Linked DNA regions of Struthio camelus. The protein of the gene in region 1 purifies or fractionates together with the protein of each later gene. This does not show direct contact. Links are inferred from orthologs where the notes say so. Each region holds a gene or a part of one and is shown on either strand. Other genes may lie near its edges.

Evidence for each region.
Region 2: the proteins of NF2 (region 1) and AMOTL1 purify together in Homo sapiens (affinity purification with mass spectrometry; 6 studies listed by BioGRID and IntAct, counting the BioPlex papers as one, with this or other methods). This does not show direct contact. The link is inferred for Struthio camelus from reciprocal best matches to the Homo sapiens genes NF2 and AMOTL1.

What each region holds. Positions count from the first base shown.
Region 1 is NC_090958.1:5,128,197-5,137,854, forward strand, and holds the start of NF2 (merlin), read right to left. Parts: upstream 4,251-9,658; 5' UTR 4,131-4,250; coding exon 4,017-4,130; intron 1-4,016. UniProt on the Homo sapiens protein: Probable regulator of the Hippo/SWH (Sav/Wts/Hpo) signaling pathway, a signaling pathway that plays a pivotal role in tumor suppression by restricting proliferation and promoting apoptosis.
Region 2 is NC_090942.1:212,027,774-212,038,008, reverse strand, and holds the start of AMOTL1 (angiomotin-like protein 1), read left to right. Parts: upstream 1-6,037; 5' UTR 6,038-6,292; intron 6,293-10,235. UniProt on the Homo sapiens protein: Inhibits the Wnt/beta-catenin signaling pathway, probably by recruiting CTNNB1 to recycling endosomes and hence preventing its translocation to the nucleus.

The DNA.
Region 1 (9,658 bases):
GCCAAGAGGGATTACTTCTCGCAGCTTTTTCAAACAGTTGTTAACTGCCCACAGACTTGCCTTTTCCAGTTCAGCCTTCTGCTGGCTTGCACAAGCTCAGCAGCCTCAAAAGAGGTCACCGTTATTACTAACATCAGTGAGAAGCTGTGAAACTTTTAACTAGGGATGGAATAACCTCTACACAACCTACACAACCTCCCCAAGTATTTGCAAAGCCGAGGGCAGCTGTCTTATTTGCCATTTACTAACCTTTGCCTTTTAATTTTGGGGCAGGGACCAGACTGAAGTCAAAACCACCCCAATTTCCTGCACCAGCTCTCACTCAGAAACTTCCATTTGTCATCAGTACTATGGAGGGGGTTACAGAGAAACAGCCTTCAGGAAAGGTGCTGTAGCCCCAAAGATGGAGAGCTACAAGCCCAGCTGCAGCTGTCACAGCAAGAAAGGGGCAGAGACACACGAGAACGAGACTGGAGCTCTCCCATCTAGCAGGCAGCTTGGGTTTTAGGAAAAAAAAAAAAAAAAAAAACACCACCCTCAACACACACGAGGAGAAAACTTGACCACAGCAGCTCCTATGGAAATCAGATCCTGGTAGAGGAAGAGCATGCAAAAAAGCTTTGGAAGATCCAGACCCAGAATACCATGAGGTTAAGCTATGCCAGAGATGACGGAGAGCAGACCACCTTGTCTGGAAGGGGCGCCAGCAAAACTAGATTGCCACCTCGAATTGTGCAAGTGTGGGGCTCACCAACTTGTTTTGGTTGGGGCCACGAGCGATGGCACAAGGTTCCACCAGAAAGCAGCAGCTGAAGAGGAAACCATTGACAACGGCACCCTGCAGCAGTATCAAACCCCTCGCGGTTCCAGTACCATGCTCCGGCAAGCTCTGATGTACGCTACTGCCGCTTAAAACAACTTCCTGAATTGTTCCTTGGGCAGCACCCAGTGTGTCGCTGTGTTCATCGCAGAGTATCAACTCCCAACTCCTTTTGGGAAGTTTTCGCCTGCACTGCCCTCCCCTCCGAGCACAGGGAGCCGACGGACTGCATGAGCCATTTGCAGGTGTCCTTGGAAAGGTGGAGCTGCTGGGGACTGGTTTAACAGAGCAGTATTAAGAGCCATGCAAATGTGTATCACTCCTCGAGATGCTATCAATTAATTAGTTGCTGCGCTCAGGCAGCTGTAATGGAAGCAACAAAGAAGAAGACACCAACCTCGCACCTTCAAGATTTCCCCAAACAAATTATGAATCTTTAAAGTGAAACCCCAGCTGTGATTATTAAGTTCCATCACAGCATTACAAAGATTAAGATCTCATTTCTGCGCATTACTGCGGATTTAGACTCAATTTAGGGACATTATTTGCAGAACAGACAGATGCAAAGCAGGTTTAATCTCCTGAAATGCACAGCTGGGGATTCCTACAGAACAGATTTAAAAATGAGCACATTAAAAAAAACGTGCTGAGCAGAGTGGGTGAGCTTAAGCCACCCGTTGTACTTCCCGCCGTGAGGGAGCCAGTTATTGATTACTGCTTCTTCAGCCACACTGGCTCAACTGTTTCCACCAAGCCCTGGGCACCCTTAATGGCCTGGGCCTCCACTGGCATGTCCTCAAGTTGTTAACAATATCACAGGGCTGGGAAGCCCAACTGATGAAAACACACAGTAGAAAGCTGTGGAACAAAATATATATTTAAAAAAACAAACAGTCATACTAACGCTGCACAGAAAGGCAGGAGCGGAAGGGCAGTCACAGCAGCGGCTGCCTCCGCTGTTCAGAGGAAGGACAAAGATCCTAGGAGGTGGAGGGGATCAGGGACACGAGACACCAGCGAGGAAGGGTGACACAAATTGGCCAGCTCTGCCTGTAGCAGAGCCTCTCCCCACCGAGGCATGGCAGCCCCAGCACCAGGAGGGTTGCCGTGTTTATTATGGGTCCTGCGGCTGGAGGTGAACCAGAGGCACAGCTCCTGTTCCAAGGGACCTGCAGCCTTGGGGAGGAACTGCCAGCCCCTTGTTGCCTGCTGGCTTCATCCCGCTGTGGGGCCAGGAGATGACTGGAGAGCGGCAGCAAGGATGGGGACAAGCACATGGAGGAACAGCCTGGAAGCAGCAGCGATCCCCTCTGTCTTCCGCCCAGCCAGGCTCGCTGGGAGAGGATGGCTCATCGGCGATCCCCGACTCCTCCTCGGCACGTTTGGACAGGGTGGCTGCAGACCAAGCGAGTAGACACGCAGCTCGACTAGAACTCCCACCTCACCTGCACCAGACACAGCGCGAAACAGCCCCGTGACCTCCCCGCTTTGCTCCAATTTTCCCCAGGTCGAGCGCTCCTCTGCGCTGAGGGATGACAGCCAAAGTCCCACTGCGTCCTTCACCAGGGGAGCAGAGCAGCATCCCTCCCACAGACTCTCAGTCCTTCCTGTGCACAGAGAAGCCCATCGGCAGTAACAAGCTTTTTGGGCAGGAACCTCCCTGACAGGCTTTTCTTCAGATGCACGAGTTGCACATTTGAACCCAACCCGAGCGCGCTGCGTTCCCCTGTCAGAAATACCTGAAGCCCAACATGAAAGGACAAGTGGCCATACTATTAAAAAAGAAGTACGTCCTTTTCTTTATCATTGGCAGCCTCAGGAAAGGAGGCACGAGGCAAGCCAGGACGCTTCACCTCTCCTGGCAGAGTGATGGTGGGAACCTCACGCCACTGTGGGTGAAAACAAATCCTTAATCTCTGGGAATGGGAGGAAGCTCCGCAGAGCTGACAACACATTTCATCAGCAAGAAAGCTTACAAGGGCAAATACCTTTTCGGTTTATGGGCACTGGAATTGCAGCAAAATTTGGATCAGATGAAGAACCTTTCTTTTTAAACTAGTTTATGTTTTAATCTGGGTAGAGTTGGCTTTCAGTCATTAAGCGCCCAACTTAGAAGCCCAGCTGATCATGTAAAAACAGTGATTACAAATTAGGCTCTTAGGAGCTGATATCAGCCCCCAAGGGAAGAGTGCCAAGGAATTATCAAGGGCCAGAAAAAGAAGGTATCAAAGAAAAAGATAAACAGATGAGAAGTGAAGATCAGAACATGATCTTGTGCCTTTGCAAACACATTTCATCCAGCGGATGGAACGGGCAAGTCATATAGCATTTGAAAATTTTGTTTTCCTGAGTGTTTTAAGTTGAATCCCTATAGATTTAAGCCTTGGCACCCAATATAACTCAAGCTCTAGTCTCCTCATGAGGCCTGCTGATCAGCAAGCAGCTTAGTTACAACAGTAAAGTAAATCCGAGATACAAATGGTCTATTTTCCTTCTCTCATACCTCTCCAAAAAGTTATCTTTGTGGACTTACACTTTTCGTGCCTGCTCTCAGCTAGGCTATAACGTACGGAAAGCACGAAAGCACGCAGACGCAGGGGCTCACCTTCCCTTTAGGCCAGGGTAAGGCAGCGGCGCGGGGCACTGAGCAGCAGCTTCCCCACTCTTAGTGACAGCCCGCCGCTGGGTTTGCGCCTGCTTCTGCTCCCTGCGTGCGGGGAAAGCCCAGACGGCAGCCGCCGGCGCGGCGGGAGAGGCGGCGGGCTGGCAGCCCGCTCCCAGCAGCGAGCCGCAGCCTCCGGCTTTCGCAGGGTCTCCTGCGGCCCCGCAGCCCGGGCCGCCCCGGGGGTGGAACCGCTGCCGCCGGGGCCGCGGCTCCGCGCTGGAGGCGACGGGAGGGAGCGGAGGCTCCAGCGGGGCCCGCAAACCCCTCGGCCCCGACGGCGCGGACCGCGGGCCCGGAGCGGGCGGCAGGGCCCTCCCGGAGGCGACGGCCCCCAAAAAGGAGCGGCGAGAGGTGGCGCGGGGGCGAGAGGGGGGCTAACGAGGGGGAGGAAAATCCCCAAACGGGCAACGCCAGCCCTGCCCGGCGGCGGTCCCCCCCCTCCCCGGGGGGTGTCGCCATGGCCCCGGGGGGGGGGGGGCGCCGCGGGCACAGGGGGCGGCGGCGGGGGGGGGGGGGGGGGGGGGCCGGTACCTCGCAGCTGAACTCCATCTCGGCGTCCATGGTGACGATGCGCACCGTGAAGGTCTTGGGCTGCTTCCTCTTCAGCGAGCTGAAGCTCATGCGGGAGGCGATGGCCCCGGCCATGACGGCGGCCGGGACAGGCAGGGCGCGGCCGCTCAGCGCTGCGGGCCGCGGCGCCGGGGCAGGGGCCGGGGCAAGGGCAGGGCCATGGCGGCGGCGGCGGGCGGGCGGGTGGGCCCGGGGGCGCCCGGGGGCCGCGCAGCGCCGGGCCGGGCCGCGGCGGAGCCTGCTGCCCGCGGCGCACCCTAGCCGCGGCGCTCCGCCATTGGCCCCGCGCGCAGGGTTGTCCCGCCCCGTAGCCACGGGTCGCGCTGGAGCAGCCGCCAATAGGAAACTTGCGCGCGCCCCGCCATGGTCTTTGCTTGCGAGGGACGGAGCAGCGGCTGCTGTGATTGGACGGGGCTGCCGCCACTCACAGGGAAGAGGCGGGCTTACTAGAGCCCCGCGCATCTGCCCCGCAGGTTGGGTTGAGAGGCAGGGCGGCCGATGGGCGCTGCGCGGGCGCCCCCTGGCGTCGAGGGGGACCAGGCGCTCCCCGGCGCAGGTCGAGCCCCAACGTCGGCGCGGCCTCTGTGCGCATGCGTACGAGGTGGAGGGCGGTTTTTTTTTTTTTTGGGGGGGGGGGGGGGATGTGCAACGGGCTCTAGGACCGTGCGGTGATTCCCGCCCCGGGATCCTGCCCCGGGATCTGCGTGCGCCCCCTGCCCCAGGATCCTCTACTGGGATCCTGCTGTGGGATCCTGCCCCAGGACATGCCCCGGCATTCTACCCTGGGACTGGCACTGGGATCCAGCCCCGGGATCTGCCCCGGGATCCTGTACCAGGATCTGCACGGGGACCCTGCATCTGGATCCTGCACAAGACCTGTCCTGGGATCCTGCCCCAGGATCTGCCCAGGGACCTGTCCTAGGATTCTGCCCTGGGAACTACCCTGGGATCCTATAGCAAGACCTGCACTGGGATCCTGCTGTGGAATCCTGCCCTGGTACCTGTCCCAGGATCCGGCATCAGTGATCTGCCCTAGCATCTGCCCCGGGATACTGCCCTGGGATCTTGCCTCAGGACCTTCCCTGGGATCCTCGCTCAGGATCCTACAGTAGGATTTGCCCCGGGAACTGCCCTGAGATTTGCTCGAGGATCCTGCCCCGGGATCTGCCCCAGGACCTGCCCCGAGATCTTGCCCTGGATTCTTTCAGCAATACTTGCACTGGGACCTGCGCTGGCATCCTGCCCTGGGATACGTCCTGGGACCTGTACTGGGATCCTGCCTTGGGATTTGCCCCGTGACCTCACCTGGGATCCTGCACCAGGATCTGCCCCAGGATCCTGCACTGGCATCCTGCCATGAGACCTACCCTGGGATCCTGTCCTGGGACCTGCACTGTGATCCTGCACCAGGACTCTTCCCTGGGATCTGCATTGGGATCCTGTCCTGGGATCCAGCAGCAGGATCCTGTCCCGGGATCCAGCACTGGGATCCTACCCCGGGATCTGCCCCGAGACGTGCCCCAGAATGCTGCACAGGGATCCGCTCTGGGAGCGGTCACCGGGAGCCGCCGATCCCTCCCCACGGCTCCGGGCAGCGGGGCCGCTCGCGGGGACCCAGGCGTCCGGGAGGGAGCCGCAGCTCGGTGAGCGGCCACGGTGCCCTGCAAGCTGGGGGTGGGGAGGGACGCGGGGGACACGGAGGGAGAAGGGGGACAAGTGGGGAGCCAGGGGACAAGGCAGGACACAGGGGATATGGGGGTACATGAGGAATATGCGGGAACAGGGGGGACATGTGGGGACACAGAGGGCAGATGAAGATAGCAATGGGGCAGGAGGGGGCTATGGGGCAGGAGGGGATTATGGGGCCAGAGGGAGCTATGAGTCCCTTAGGTGAGCAGGGCCCCAGACATCACGGTCCCTGTAGGAATGGGGCCCGGACGCCTGGGTCCCTGTGGTGAGGGGGGACCCAGATGTATCGTACATGCCAATACTGGCCTCTATGAGCTCGTGTGAGCCTGTGCCAGGATCTATGGGCTCGTATGGGCCCATGCCGACCTTTATCAGCTCATGGGCTTGTGCTGGCTTCTACGGTCTCATATGGGCCCCTGTCGAACTCTCCAGGCTCCTACGCACCCACGCTGGGCTTATAGGCTTGAACGAGCTCGGCATGGCTGTGATCTCATACGGGCCTGTGCTGGCCTCTGCTGTCTTGCACGGGCCATTGCTAAGCTCTATGGGCTTGTATGGGCTTGTTCTGGCCTCTGTGGTCTCCTACCTGCCCATGCCAGGCTCCATGGTCTTGTACAGGCCTGTGCTCATCTCTACAGGCTTATATGGGCCCATGCTGGTCTCTACAGGCTCGTAGGAGCTTAAGCCAGCCTCTATGGGCCCATTTTCACTTGTGCCGTCCTCTATGGGCTCGTATGCACCCGTCCTGAGCTCTACAGGCTTGTAAGTACCCGTGCAGGGCCTCTATGGGATCGAACATAGCTGTACCCACCTCTACGGGCTCGTACGTGTCCGTACCGGCCTCTACAGGCTCGTACAGAATCACAGAATCACAGAATCGTTTAGGTTGGAAGGGACCTCTGGAGATCATCTAGTCCAACCTCCCTGCTCAAGCAGGGTCCTCTAGAGCATACGGATGCCTACTGGTCTCTAGGGGCTCGTGTGCACCCATGTCCGCCTCTACAGGGTCAGACAGGTCCGTACTGGCTTCCACAGACTCGTATATGTCCGTACCAGCTTCTACGGGCTCACGGGGGTTTGTGCCGGTCTCTACAGGCTCGTACATGCCCATGCATGCCTCTACAGCCTTATATGGCCTCATATGCATCCGTGCCAACTTCTACAGGCATATACAGGCCCGTGCAGGGCCTCTACACGATCATATGCACCGGTATGTGCTGACCTCTGCAGACTCATTCAGGTCCATTCTGGCCTCTATGGGCTTGTAAATATCTGTACCAGCCTCTACAGGCTTATATGGGTTTGTGCCAGACTCTATGGGCTTTTATGCACACATGCTGTCCTCTATAGCCTTGTACTGGCCCGTGCTGGGCCCTGCAAACTCGTACGCTCCAAAACCAGCTTCTGCAGGCTCATACGGGCCCGTGCAGGGCCTCTACAGGATTGTCTGCGGCCGTGCCTGCATCTGTGGGCTTATACAGGTCCGTACTGGCCTCTATGGGCTTGTACAAGCCTGTGCTGGCCTCTATGGGCTTGTACGGGACTGTGCCAACCTCTATGGGATCGTACACAGGCGTGCCCCGGCCTCTGTGGGCTTGTATGCGCCCATGCCGACCTCCACGGGTCATATGTGCTCATGCTGGCCTCTACAGGCGTGTACACATCCTTGCTGGCGTCTACGGGCTCATACGCACCTGTGCTGGCTTCCATGGGCTTGTATGGGCCCGTGCCATCTCTATGGGCTCATACAAACCCATTCCAGCCTCTGTGGGATCATACACGCCCGTGACGGCCTCTACAGCCTTGTATGAGCCTATGCTGGCTGATACTGGCTTGTGTCGGCTTGTTCTGGCCTCTATGGGCTCGTAGGCACCCGTGCCAGCCTCTGTGTTCTCATAGGCACCTGTGCCGGGCTCCCTGGCCTTGTGCAGGCCCATTCCAGCCTCTACAGGCTTGTATGTGCCTGTGCTGGTCTTTACAGGCTCATAGGGGCTTAAACCAGCCTCTACAAGCCCATTTGTGCCCATGCTGTCCTCTACAGGCTCGTATGCACCCATAGCGGGGGCTTGTAGGGGTCCCTACCAGACTCTACGGGCTTATATAGGCCCTTGTCAGGCTCTACAGGTTCATACGCATCCATGCCAGCCTCTAAAGGTTTGTAGGTGTGCATGCTGGCCTGTATGGGCTCATATGGGCTCATGCCAGTCTCTACGGGCTCAGGCTAGTCTCTGTGGGCTTTTATGCACCTGTGCTGACCTTTATGGGCTTGCAGGGGGTCTGTACCGGCCTTTACGGACTCATATGCACCCGTGCTGGTCTCTACAGGCTTGTAGGGGCTTGCACTGGCCTCTATGGGGTTTTATGTGCCAGCGTTGGCTGCTACGGGCTCATAGGCACCCGTGCTGGGCTCTATGGGCCCATACGCACCTGAGCCAGTCTCTTTGGGCTTGTATGGGCCCATGCACGGCCTCTACAGGATCGCTTATAGCCGTGCCCGCCTCTGCAGGCTCTTGCAGGTCTGTACCGGCCTCTATGGACTTGTACACATCCGTACTGGCCTGTACAGGCTCATACACACCCATGCCTGCCTCTGCCTGGATTATATTGTATGGGCCCATGCTGAGCTCTGTGGGCTTTTGCGGGCCTGCACCGAGCTCTATGGGCTTGTACGTGCCCTTGCCAAGCTTGTACAGGCCCCTGCCAGCCTCTGTGGGCTCATACTGACTCGCACCAAGCTCTACAGGCCTTGTCCTGACCCGTACCGGCCTCTACAGGCTCATACGGACCCGCACCAAGCTCTAGGGGCCTGCACGAGCCCTTTCCGAGCTCGAACAAGCTCACACCGGCACTTACAGGCTCATACGGGTCCATACTGGACTCCATGGCCTTCTCCAGGCCCTGGTCAAGCTCGTACAGGCCTGTCCCGGCAGGGGCCTCTATGGGCTTGTTGCGGGCCCACAGCAAGCTCTACGAGCCTTGTCCCAACCCCTGCCGGCACCTATGGGCTCCTATGAACCATCACCGAGCTCTATGGGCTCGTACGGGTCTGTGTCAGACTCAGCAGCCTTGTCCGGGCCTGTGCCAAGCTCGTCCAGGCCCATGTCAGCCTCTATGGGCTTGTATGGGCCCATGCCGGCCTCTGCGGGCTTGTCCGGACCCGTGCCAAGCTCTACAGGTCTGTATGAGCCCACTCCAGGTTCTATGACCTCATATGGGTCCGAACCAAGCTCTACAGGCTTGTATGGGCCTTTGCTCAGCTCATACGGGCCCACACCAGCCTCTGCAGGCTCGTACAGGCCCGCACTGAGCTCTACAGGCTTGTACAACCTTCGCTGAGCTTGACTGGGCCCATACTGGCCTCTATAGGCTCCTACAGGCCTGCACCGAGCTCTACGGGCTTGTCCGGGCCTGTACTGAGGTCGTAGGGCTTGTTCTGGCCTCTGCAGGCTTGTCTGGGCCCCTGCCAGCCTCTACAGGCGTGTACGGGCCCGCACCGAGCTCTACAGGCCTGTATGAGCCCACATCAAGGTTGTACAGGCCCGTGCTGGCCTCTGTGGGCTTCCCAGGGCCCCTACTGGCCTCTATGGTCTCGTATGGGCCCGCACTGAGCTCTATGGGCCTGTGTGGGCCCATACGAGCCCATAGAAACAGGCAGGGGACCGGAGAAGCCCGCAGAGGCTGGCACGGGCCCAGACAAGCCCTGGCAGAGTCTGACATGGGTCTGTACACACTCGGCAAGGGCTCGAACAAGCCTGTAGAGCTCAGTTTGGGCTCGTACGAGTCCACAAAGGCTGGCAGGGGCCCGGACAAGCCCACAGAGGCTGGCATGTACGGGCCCATGTACGTACGGGGTCAGCAAGGGCTCATACAAGCCCATAGAACTCAGTGGGGGCCTGTACAAGTCTGTAGAGTCC
Region 2 (10,235 bases), on another chromosome or scaffold:
CTCCTACTCTGAGAGGAGGGACCTGCAGAAGACGCTGGGAGGGAGATGACCAATACTTAGCCACGAGCAGTCTCACTGCCTAATTTGCAGGGAAGGATGAGCAGCCAGGAGGCGAAAGGGAGAAAGCAGCTAACAGCTGCATTTCTTTGACCCCACTGCCAAGACATTAAGTCTGTGTCATGACTGACTGTATTTCTGCTTTTCCCTCTCTTCTCTCCTCTCCCCTCCCTGAAGGGAACATAGATCACATCCGTATAAATCATCACCAAACTCTTGGAGCATAAAGAGACTTATTTCTCTTCTTAGAGAAAGGAAAAAGGAAATTTTTTTCTCTTTTCCCTGTCATGACAGCAAGGCATTCACACTCCATTTTGTGTGATGGACACGAGCAAGGCTGCATTTTACTGTCGTTTCATGAACCTACTTGGCCGGTTCTTTAAATATCCCAGCCTACCCAAGAAAGACGAGGCATTTTAAATCTTCTTGTCTTTCCAGTTAGCTTTATGTGTGACCCATACAAAATCATCAAGGAGAAGTCGTTTGTGCATTTTTTTTTTGACATTTGTGCCACAAGGCCGGGTAGATAATTGCACAGATCATGGCTCCAGGATCACAGAGTCAGGTCCCTGCGGGGTCCCCGATACTAGAGTATCAGATAGGTCTTCTCAATCACTGGCACCATCCAGACAGAAACTTTAGGAGCAGAGGAGCTTGATGTGTGGGTATGTTTTACTGATAGAGGCTGGGACTCTGGAAAGCACCTAAAGCGACACTCCTTTAGCCTGGGGAGAGACCCATCAGGTGGAAGGTGAGCTGCTGTGGGCCTGCGCAGGCTTGCCCTTGGATGGTGAAACATCTAGGACTTGGGAAGGTCAGAGCTCTGCGTGGGTGTGCCAAAGGGCTCGGTATGTGGAGCAGTGGCACAGGGCTCACCTTGAAGTGAAGGAGGAAGGGTTAGGAGCCAGACCAAGTCTGGGGTCCCGTACGCCAGTGTATGAGCCAGCTATGCCAGCCAGGTGCGGGGGGAGGACAAGACGTGCTGCATCCTTTACGTGGGCCAAAGAGCACATCTGTTTTTGATATATAACTCACTCACTCTCACAATAGCCAGCATGATCATCATTTTGCTAAATCTTTTCTGGCTCTTGCGTGACTCTTGGAAAAGCATTTGACAAGATACCGTTTACCTTCCCTTTTCTTCCTCAGGAGCTCTAATTTTGTTTAGCAAATAATGACATTCCCCACAGCAGCTTCCTCTGAAGAAGTTCTCCTCTGACTTCAGTCCTCCAAAGAGAGCATTATATATGTTTTATTTCTAACTCACTCCAGTGAAAAATAATATGACTTTAACAAAAGGCTCTAACAGTTCCCATTTGCCAGCTAAGATCCTACCCTAACTCACTGCCATTGCATCAAACAATTTCTTATTTTTTCGAGTAAAGAAGCTTCCTCAGCCTGCTCTTGAGTTTCACCAGGGAAGAAATTATTGTGATTGAGATGCAGAAGTCTTGAAAACAAGATTAACCTAATTAATACACAAAGGGCACCTCTCACACCTCTCTCTGTAGAGCAAATACTTTCAGGCAAAAGGCAGCCAGAGATATGCAGTCTGGGTTTCACAGTTAGTTTAACATGTGCTCCCAGAAGCAGATCGGTCCTGGGGCTGACAGAGGCAGGAGCTAGAGGTAACTGTACAAGAGTTGCACCCAGGAGCAGGACCAGGATGTGGTTCAAGACCCCCCAGCCTCATGTCAGGGTCCTGAGGGCAGCAATGGGCCATAATTGTCCTGAGCATCTTCTCTCCACCCTGCCCAGCCTGGGGACATCAGTCCCTGTCCCATGACAATGCAGCAGTGCTGGGTCCAGCCCTGCCCCTGCCTAGCTACAGGTCTGATCCTGACCCTGACCCACAGATGACCACCTGGCCTGGCCTCAGTCCATCCCTGTCCCTGAAACAGGGTCCGATGCCAGGGCTGGGGTTGCCCTGGCTGCCCCCAGTGCCCTTCTCCCTCTCGGCTGGTGGGACTGCCCTGGCAGCGAGGCCCAGCCCTGTTGCCACCAGGATCCCCCGCCAGTACTGACCCAGGAGAGCCACGCGATGTCATGATAGCTATGGTGTCCAGGCTGGGCCAGTGTTTACTGGCTCTCAGGGAGGCAAGCCCTGATGTTTCACAGCCAACTTACAAGGAAGGGCAGGTTTCTTGCCCTGAGAGCCTGAGGCATGGGGCAGCCCAGGTAGTGGTGCCGTGCTGGGGGACGCCAGCCGTAGACCCTCCTCTTGCACGTGCCTCATCTTCCCGTGGACCCTGCAGCTCCATGTCCTCTTGTCCTTCCCCTTCCCACCTCCTCCCTGCCTAGTAACCCAAGAGCTGCCATCCTCATTCTCCCCTACAAGTAATTTAAGACTTCCCCCACTGCCTGTGACTTATTTCCGTCTTCCCACAAATGACCTTTCCCTCCTTTCCCTTGATCAGTTCAGATAACGCTGCCAGTGCTACTGACTGGGGAGAAGCATAAGGCCGGCAGGGAGCACCCAATGCCCTGTGGAGGGATAAACCAGGTCAGAGCCATGAGGCTCTGCAGCTGTGCTAAAACCTTGGCAGCTTATAGCAGCCTCTGAGATTATCGCACTGGCCAGGACAATGTGCTCTTTGCACTGGGAGAGGGAGCAGAAAAAACATCACTCAACCCTGGAGAAGTCCCCCTCGGCTCAGGCGCTGTGGTTAGGAAAGGGACAGGGAGGCTGGTGACACCCAGTGGGAGTCGCTGTCCCCGTAAAGCTTTGAGTAAAGCCAACGTGGTGTGGAGATAGAGGAGAGAGACCTCCCCTTCTTGGAGGAATTCTTCCACAGCAGATATGCCGCTAAACAACTTAATGTTCATCACCATCTTGCTCTTTCTGATGCTGCGATCCAAAGCGGGAAAAGGTCGAGTTTGATTTGGACTGCAACGTTGTTCTTCATTTGTCTGCAAGGCAGATTTGTGCAGCCGGTTGTAAATCTGGTGGGGAGTTAATGACTCACTTGTGTAAAAGTCGTGGAACTATGTGAATTACGCAACATCTGCTGTTCACCTTTATAAAGATGGTTTTGGCTCACCTTGTTGTTTGTGTAGGAACAAATGTGCCTGTACAGCAGGCTGAGTGATTGCAGCTCCGCACAGACATGCTTAGGAGAAGAGTTAGTGCGTGCCCTATGTTAGCAGGCCTGGAAAAGCTGTCAGGACTCTGTGTCTCTGTAATTACAAGTCTGCTACGCGTGATTTTTTTAAACAAGCTTAATCCGAAACCTCCACTACAAATACTGAACTGCAGGGACATTTGAAACTTGATTTCTATCCAAACTACATGGTTTCTTCTAGGGTCTCCCAGGATAGAGTCAAAGTCTCAGCACTAAGCACCAGGGGAAGGTCTGGATTTGGATCTAGATCCACTGAGAGCCAACACGCACTAAAACATTTCCATTATATCATGTTTCTGCAGCCAACTCCTTGTAACGTATTCCCTTTTTTGGTGCCAAATTGTGCTGTGACTTCTCCTAGCCTAGTCTGCAGCCCTTCTGCCCGGCTGCATAGGGACATCCCTGCTCCTCTAGGCATGTCGTTGCCACCCAGTGCCCGTGAGTTCAGGGGAAGACCTCTGTATCTGCCTGAATCTGCTTCTGTGGGTTCGTAGGCTGTGATAGGCAGGCCTGGACTTGAGGGCAGCCTCAGGGCATCAGCCAGTGCTCCTCTCAACTCTCAGACTAGCAGGGCACTCTGGAAGTGAAGACATCAGGATTTCACCCATAGTTTAAAATTCAGGCCGCTAGTCACACACAAATCTCTTTCTCAGGGGGTTGAGCTAATTGATTTTCAGAGGCCCCTTCCAAATTCAACCACTCTGTGATTCTGTGATCCCTCTCCCTTCCTTATTCTAGTCCTTGCCACTCTCCTGTTACCTACCTGGAAAATTTAGAAGTTGCTGGAGAAACATATTAATTTGAGGGGAAAACTGGGGACAAAAGCATCAGTGTATGACATTTCCTACACTGACACTCTGGCCTGCTTTGCTGTTCAGTTGATCTGTTGGTGGGGTTTTCCTTGTAATGAGGAACACCTCGCTAGATCTTTGCTAAAATTGACAGTTCCTGGCGATATCTGTTAACTCACAAGGTGGAATGGAAATAATAATGTGCTAAATGGATTCAGGGCTGAGGCTGTTTCCTGCTGCAGCTGTGGCAGCAAGCCTGAACATCAGATTGGAGTCAACTCATCCTGTCATTTCCCTGCCTGTGCAGAGCCCAGATCTTTCACAGCACCAGACACCGGGTGCCATCTCAGCTGACACTAGTTGGCACCTCACTGGGCACAGAAATGTCTCTGTTGCTCGGACACTTCTTCCTTTATGATCAGGGTTGAGATATGTCTACAGAGAAGGTCTGGGAACTTGAGGTGTTTGCAACTTGGGGGGTGCCTGGTACTCCCCAGATCCACTTGCTTCCCAAATACACATCTGCAGCGTGGGCAGCCTGCAAACAGCCTCGTGCCTGGCAGCGTCGTAACCTGTCAATGCTGTGCTAACGCTATATTGGGGTGCCAAGCACAGATAGATACTGCCAGAGGCAGTAGGCAATGCTGGCCAGTTCACAGGTGTGAGAACGCAAGATGAGAGTCAAGAGCCATGCTTAAAGCCAGGAGGATGTGACAAAATTGAGTTACAGCTGGAGAAGAGCAAAGGCCACCGAAGGGAGAGTTGGCACAAAGCCTTCACAGAACATTTCTCTTTCCCATTCACTGCACAGGAATGTTTAAAGCTCCTGCGGCCCAGGAAGCAGGAGCTGTTTGACTCCCAAATATGAGGTTTTTTATTTAACCTAATGGCTGAAAGGTTTTCACGTCTGAGCTCATAATTTTGAAATCACCTCCTCTGTATCACGAGCTGTCAAGAATGAAGACGGATGGAGTTTATCTTTTGGGAGATGGAGCAAAAATGAAGATCCAGTTGCATCTGTCTCACCAATAAGAGGTTTAGCTAGGTCTCGGTGCACCTGCAAAGGAATGGAATTGTGGATCTAATTTACTGATCAAAGGTGCTGGACTTCCTATGCTCGGATGAACAGGCTGTTCATGCATGTTTTCATGCATAAATTAGGGCAAACTGAAGTTTCACTCCTGAGAAGTCCTTTATATAAAACATCTGGAAAAAATGCAGATCTAACAAAATGTTGCACTGTGTGAACGTTTGCTGCAGCCATTCCCTCACCGTAGCAGATTAGCACATTTCTTTCCTTTGCAAGAAGATGGTGTAACCAAGGACCTCCTTGGATTGCTTGGTCTCCATTCTCAGCCTTCTTTCCTCACCTATACTGGGCACAAGGAGGTTTTCTGGGAAGCTCACCTGCATGGTATCCCACTCTCTCATAGTATTTCCTTCCTCTTCCAAGACTATCTGCTATGACTTGATCATAGCAGAAATCCATTTGCTGGTGTCACTTTTTCCCAGGTGGTTTTGACTCAAGAGAAACTCCAGGAAGACACTTGTCATCCTTATCAAGATGTAACTAGCCCAGACACTGCAGTATAACATTGTTTTTTAAATCTGTACCGCTGATGACTCAGCCTCCAATTACAGATAGTCATCAGGGACTACTTCACTTCGTCTTTCCTCTCAGTCAGAGACTGTCCCATAACCTGTGCAATCCACTGAGCTTCAGATCAGCTTTTCTAGTGCTTTGGGTGCTTTTCGAAATGTATCACTGTTGCTCTTAAACGTTTACTGCACATGCCTCTTGAAACCACTGGAAAATGCCAGCACTAAAGCAGACAACTCAGCCTCTCCTTTAGATTTTATCTTTGGGGACATATGAATTAGAAATGTCCCTGAAACAATGTAGTCCGTTTACAGCTGTTGGATGTGAACTCCTCACAGTGCACTGCGTACCTTCTAGGAATATAAATAGCCTGTTGCTTTTTTTTTTTTTCTTTTCTCTCTCCACTGCACTTCTGTGGCTTACTTTCCCAAAGATAATTATATGACTCAGGAAGACAAATGCATACTTCACATACTCGTGGGAATCATAATGCTGATAGGTGGTTGAGAGCATTTTGAAGCTCTTTGAACACACAAGAACAGTTGAATTCCAGTGACTTACCTACACAAACCAAAGCAAGTCCAGGCAATGGCTGCATAGTTTTTGTGGAGTCCTTACCCAGTGAAGGACAAATATCTTCCTGAGAAGGAATAATCTTTGGTCTTACAGTACCGAGGCACAGTCAGTCTTTGTTGCCAGAGAAATCACGGGCATTTTGTGAGGTAAGATTTACTCTTTGTATTTTACTGTTTTTTGAAAGATCTTGTCCAGACTAAAGCTGGAACACTTCCTACCATGAAGACAAAAAAAAAAAAAAAAAAAGCAATCCTGTGCTTTCTGAAAGATGATAAGAATAGCACGGAGCAAGCAATGATCATCTGCTAACTAGATAAGTGATTATTAATGGTAAAATAACCTGGCATCTACTTGCCTATGAAGATAACCAGTAAGAATCAGACGTTGTGGTGTTCGACATAGACGACTCTGTCAAAGATACAAAAAAAGACACAGACTTTACTTTAAGTGTTTGAACATTTGGATAATTATATTACAATTTAATTTGCTAATTTTGGAAGAAAGTGGACGAGTAAGAGGTAACAGCAATTTTATTATTCCATGCAGTAACTTGGAGACTCTTACGGATCTTAAGGCTCTTTCTTAAAACTACCCCAAATCTAGTCTTTGCGTGGTTGATATGAATACCTAGAATCTCATGTAACTTTTTACAAAAGCTGTGGTCAGTAGCAGCAATGCTGTGAGGCTGCTTCATCGGGTCTTCCTGCTTCTGCAATTCCTTAGGCAGGTTTGTGAGGTAGAGTAGGAGCTTGAATTTGGTTGAAATTAAAGCTAATATTTATAGAGCTTTTAAAGCTTTCATTTCAGTTCCTGGATATCTATATAGATGTGTGTGCCTAGCTAGGGACAAATTATTTCAAATGAAATCATGATAAGTAAATAGGCATGTATTTATTTATTTGCCTTTCACCTTTATTTTCTATCCAAAAGGAGCTTCTAGCTCCTGTCCCCCATCAGCACTTGAAACTTTCTACCTGCAGTATTTCCCCCGCTCCCAGATTGGGACAGTTTCTCCCAAGAGGCTTTGTCACATTTAGGGTTTATCCAAAATGCAGGACGTCAGGGTCCCCGAGCCGTGCTGGGAGCGAGAGCGGCGGGGTCTGCCTGGCGCTGGCGAGCCGCCGCGGCCGCCGCGCGCTGCCTGCCGGGCGCCGCACGCCGGGCACGCGTGCCCCTGCCCCGCTCCTACCGCCCGCAGCAAAGGCAGAGGCACGGCAGCTGCTGCTCTGGGACGGGCTCTCTTCTGAGCAGGTCGGGTGTTTCATGGCTCCCGAACGGTTTCTCTTTGCGGAGGCGAGGGGAGAGATAGGGCTCCGCAGGGCAACGCGCAGCCTGGCCTGAAACGCACACGCTATTTGCAAACTTGCAGCTTTTATAAAAAAGGCTCCTATCCTGGGAACTGTGGAGCCTTAAAGTGCTTCTTGGCTCTGGACTTGTCCTTTAGCTGCAGTAAGATCAGGTTAATGATGCATTAGTTCAAGATAACTACCATGAGATCATGTAATTAACTTGTGATCCTACCCTGTGCCAGTTGGCTGAGATTGCATTCTTTTAAGAAACTCTTTAAGACTAGCAACAAATAGAGCTTTTTGAATGACTGCATTAACAATGAGCTCATTAGTCACCTTTTGGGTTAATTAAAGGAGAATGTTCACAAGAAAGGCAATAAAGAGCTACAGAGGGTGATTAAATGCAGCCGTCAAGCTGAGGTGTTTGGAAGCAGCGAAAGCAGTTTATTACTGTGGGTTCCCTCCTGCGCTGGTTGAGCTCCCTGTTGCACGGCAGGGCACGGGTGCACAGGGGCCATGGCTTTTCTGGGCTCCTGGTGGCCCGACCCAAGGCCCGATCCGCATCCCACTCCAGGTCAGTTCGACTCCCGCTGGCCTCAGCAAAGCTTGGTCAGACTTTCCCCATACCACACCTACCGCCCTTGGGCAGATGAATAACTGTTCAAAGGCGGGTTTAGAAAGCTGATTCCTTCCTGGGGCAGTGGTAACTGCCCAGGAGCAGCTGGTGCTTGCCTAAGCGATGTGATTTCACCTCAGTAATGCTCTCAGATTTGGCACACGAGGCCTTTTTGACACATAAAAGTCTTACTCTAAGCATAAAAGCCATAGAGGGTTGGGGATGCTTTAAATCCTCTGGACTGATTGAATAAAGGCAGAGCAGAGCGAGGCTTGTCCCAACTCAGGGAAGCAGATTGCATCTACCTGTACAAGTGTTTTGGTTTTAACCACTGCCAGTGCAGCCACACTGTGGCTTTCACTGCCAGAATTGTACTGGTACAACCATAACAGCCTTTATCAGATGTGGGAATCCTGGTACCACTCGTGTAAGACGCAGTCTGGGCCTCACACCATTACCGTTTAGGCACTGTAAGGATTTGTGTAGCGTTTCTCTGAGCGTGGAGCTGGTTATTTCAATATAATGTTCAAATATTTTTCAAATGAAATAGTATTTTTGTGTGGCACTGGGAAGCAGTTCAGGACTTCACCATGGCCACAGGTCTGCCCAGGAAATGGAGCCTCTCTCATGATGTTTAACCCCAGCCCTGGTGGCTGCAAGGCTGCTTCAGGAGGTCTTCTCCTGCAGGCTGCCTGCATTCGCTCCCTCTCGTCCAGTCATGCTCCAGTCAGCCCAAACTCCCTTCTTCGGTGCCCACTTCTTGCCTCAGCCTCAGCCCTTCCTTGGCTGCCCACCTCATCCTTTTGGCGTGACAAATGTCCTGCCCAAATCCTACAAACATGTCCAGCGGTGCAGGTTTGGATTTGTGCCCCCTCTTGCCAGAAAAGGCACTAGTAACAGCTCGCCCCTGCTGCAGGGTTTGCAGTGTGAGAAGAAGCAAAGATTTTTCTCCCAGTTCCTGCTCTCTCTTGCCAAAATGGTGGCTGTTGCCTAACCCTGCTCTCCTCTGCGTGAGTCATCGTCTGCTGCACCATCTACCAACCTTCCCTTGACTGGTGGGCTCCTCAGGTGCTGCTTAGTCCTTTCTCTTGCCCAGCCTCCACCAATGCTTTATTCCCTTTTACACCGGGCAGTGATGCCCTTGTGATGGCTCTGGGGTCACCAAGCCTGGCCTGGTGTTTGCCATTGCCCTGTCAAGCGGCATCGGGTCAGCTTGGTGCTGCTCCACTGCCCAGACACCAGTCTGCTCATCCCACATTTCTGCACTCCCACAAGCCCGGATCCTGCTCAGAAGTGTGAGTTTTTCTTGGTTGCTGCAAGTCATTGGACAGGTAGTTGATCTAATTAATAAATCATTATACATGGAGTGCTTCTGTACGCACTTTGAGGGCTCAGACCAGTAAGCTGATATGTGGTGATCACTACACCTGGCATTGCACAAGGTTAGATTGGATTTAGCGTTTCATGAAAATGTACCCTCTTTCATTCCTCATGGAAGAAGGGAAAAAACAGACCCAGACATGCTCAATTAACTGTGAAAATCACCTCCAATCTGTGGCTTCTGGAAGATGCCCATTGTTTTTCCTCCTAACCAAGCAGGTGGATCCAAATACAGCCCACTGAACAGCTCTGAAGCTGAACAGTAGGTAAAGAGATGCTATAACTCAGAGAACATAGGACAGCCTTCTTTTAACAGATGTGCTTTGGAAAGCAGTGTCTTATTTTGGTGAATCATGTGGATGGAGCATTTACTATGGGTACTGCTTGGGTGAACACCACCTATTTCTTCTTTTCCTCCAAATCAACCCCCAGCTTGCAGGAGTATTTAGGATTTGCTGCTTTAATCTCTTGTCTATATGGGTTAGTCTCAAGTCATTAACTTGTACTTTCCTGCTGTTCTGGCTGTGTGAATTCTGCAGTCTGTGGTACTAAAAAAATTCCCAGTGCAGCTGCTTACTGCCTAGAGAATCTGTGTGGCAGATTGTTTTAAACTGGAAATGTTCCAGATGGGAAGCTTAGCTGACCTTCGTTCTCTGACAGCCAGCTCTTACAGATTAGAGAAGTTGTAAAATATTACTGAAATGATCATTCCAATGTTACGCTATTTTGTTCTGCAGTTAGGAAGAGCTTTATAGGTAAGACCGAAAAAGGGCAGTCACTTGTGACTTGTTTGGCTTTTATTTG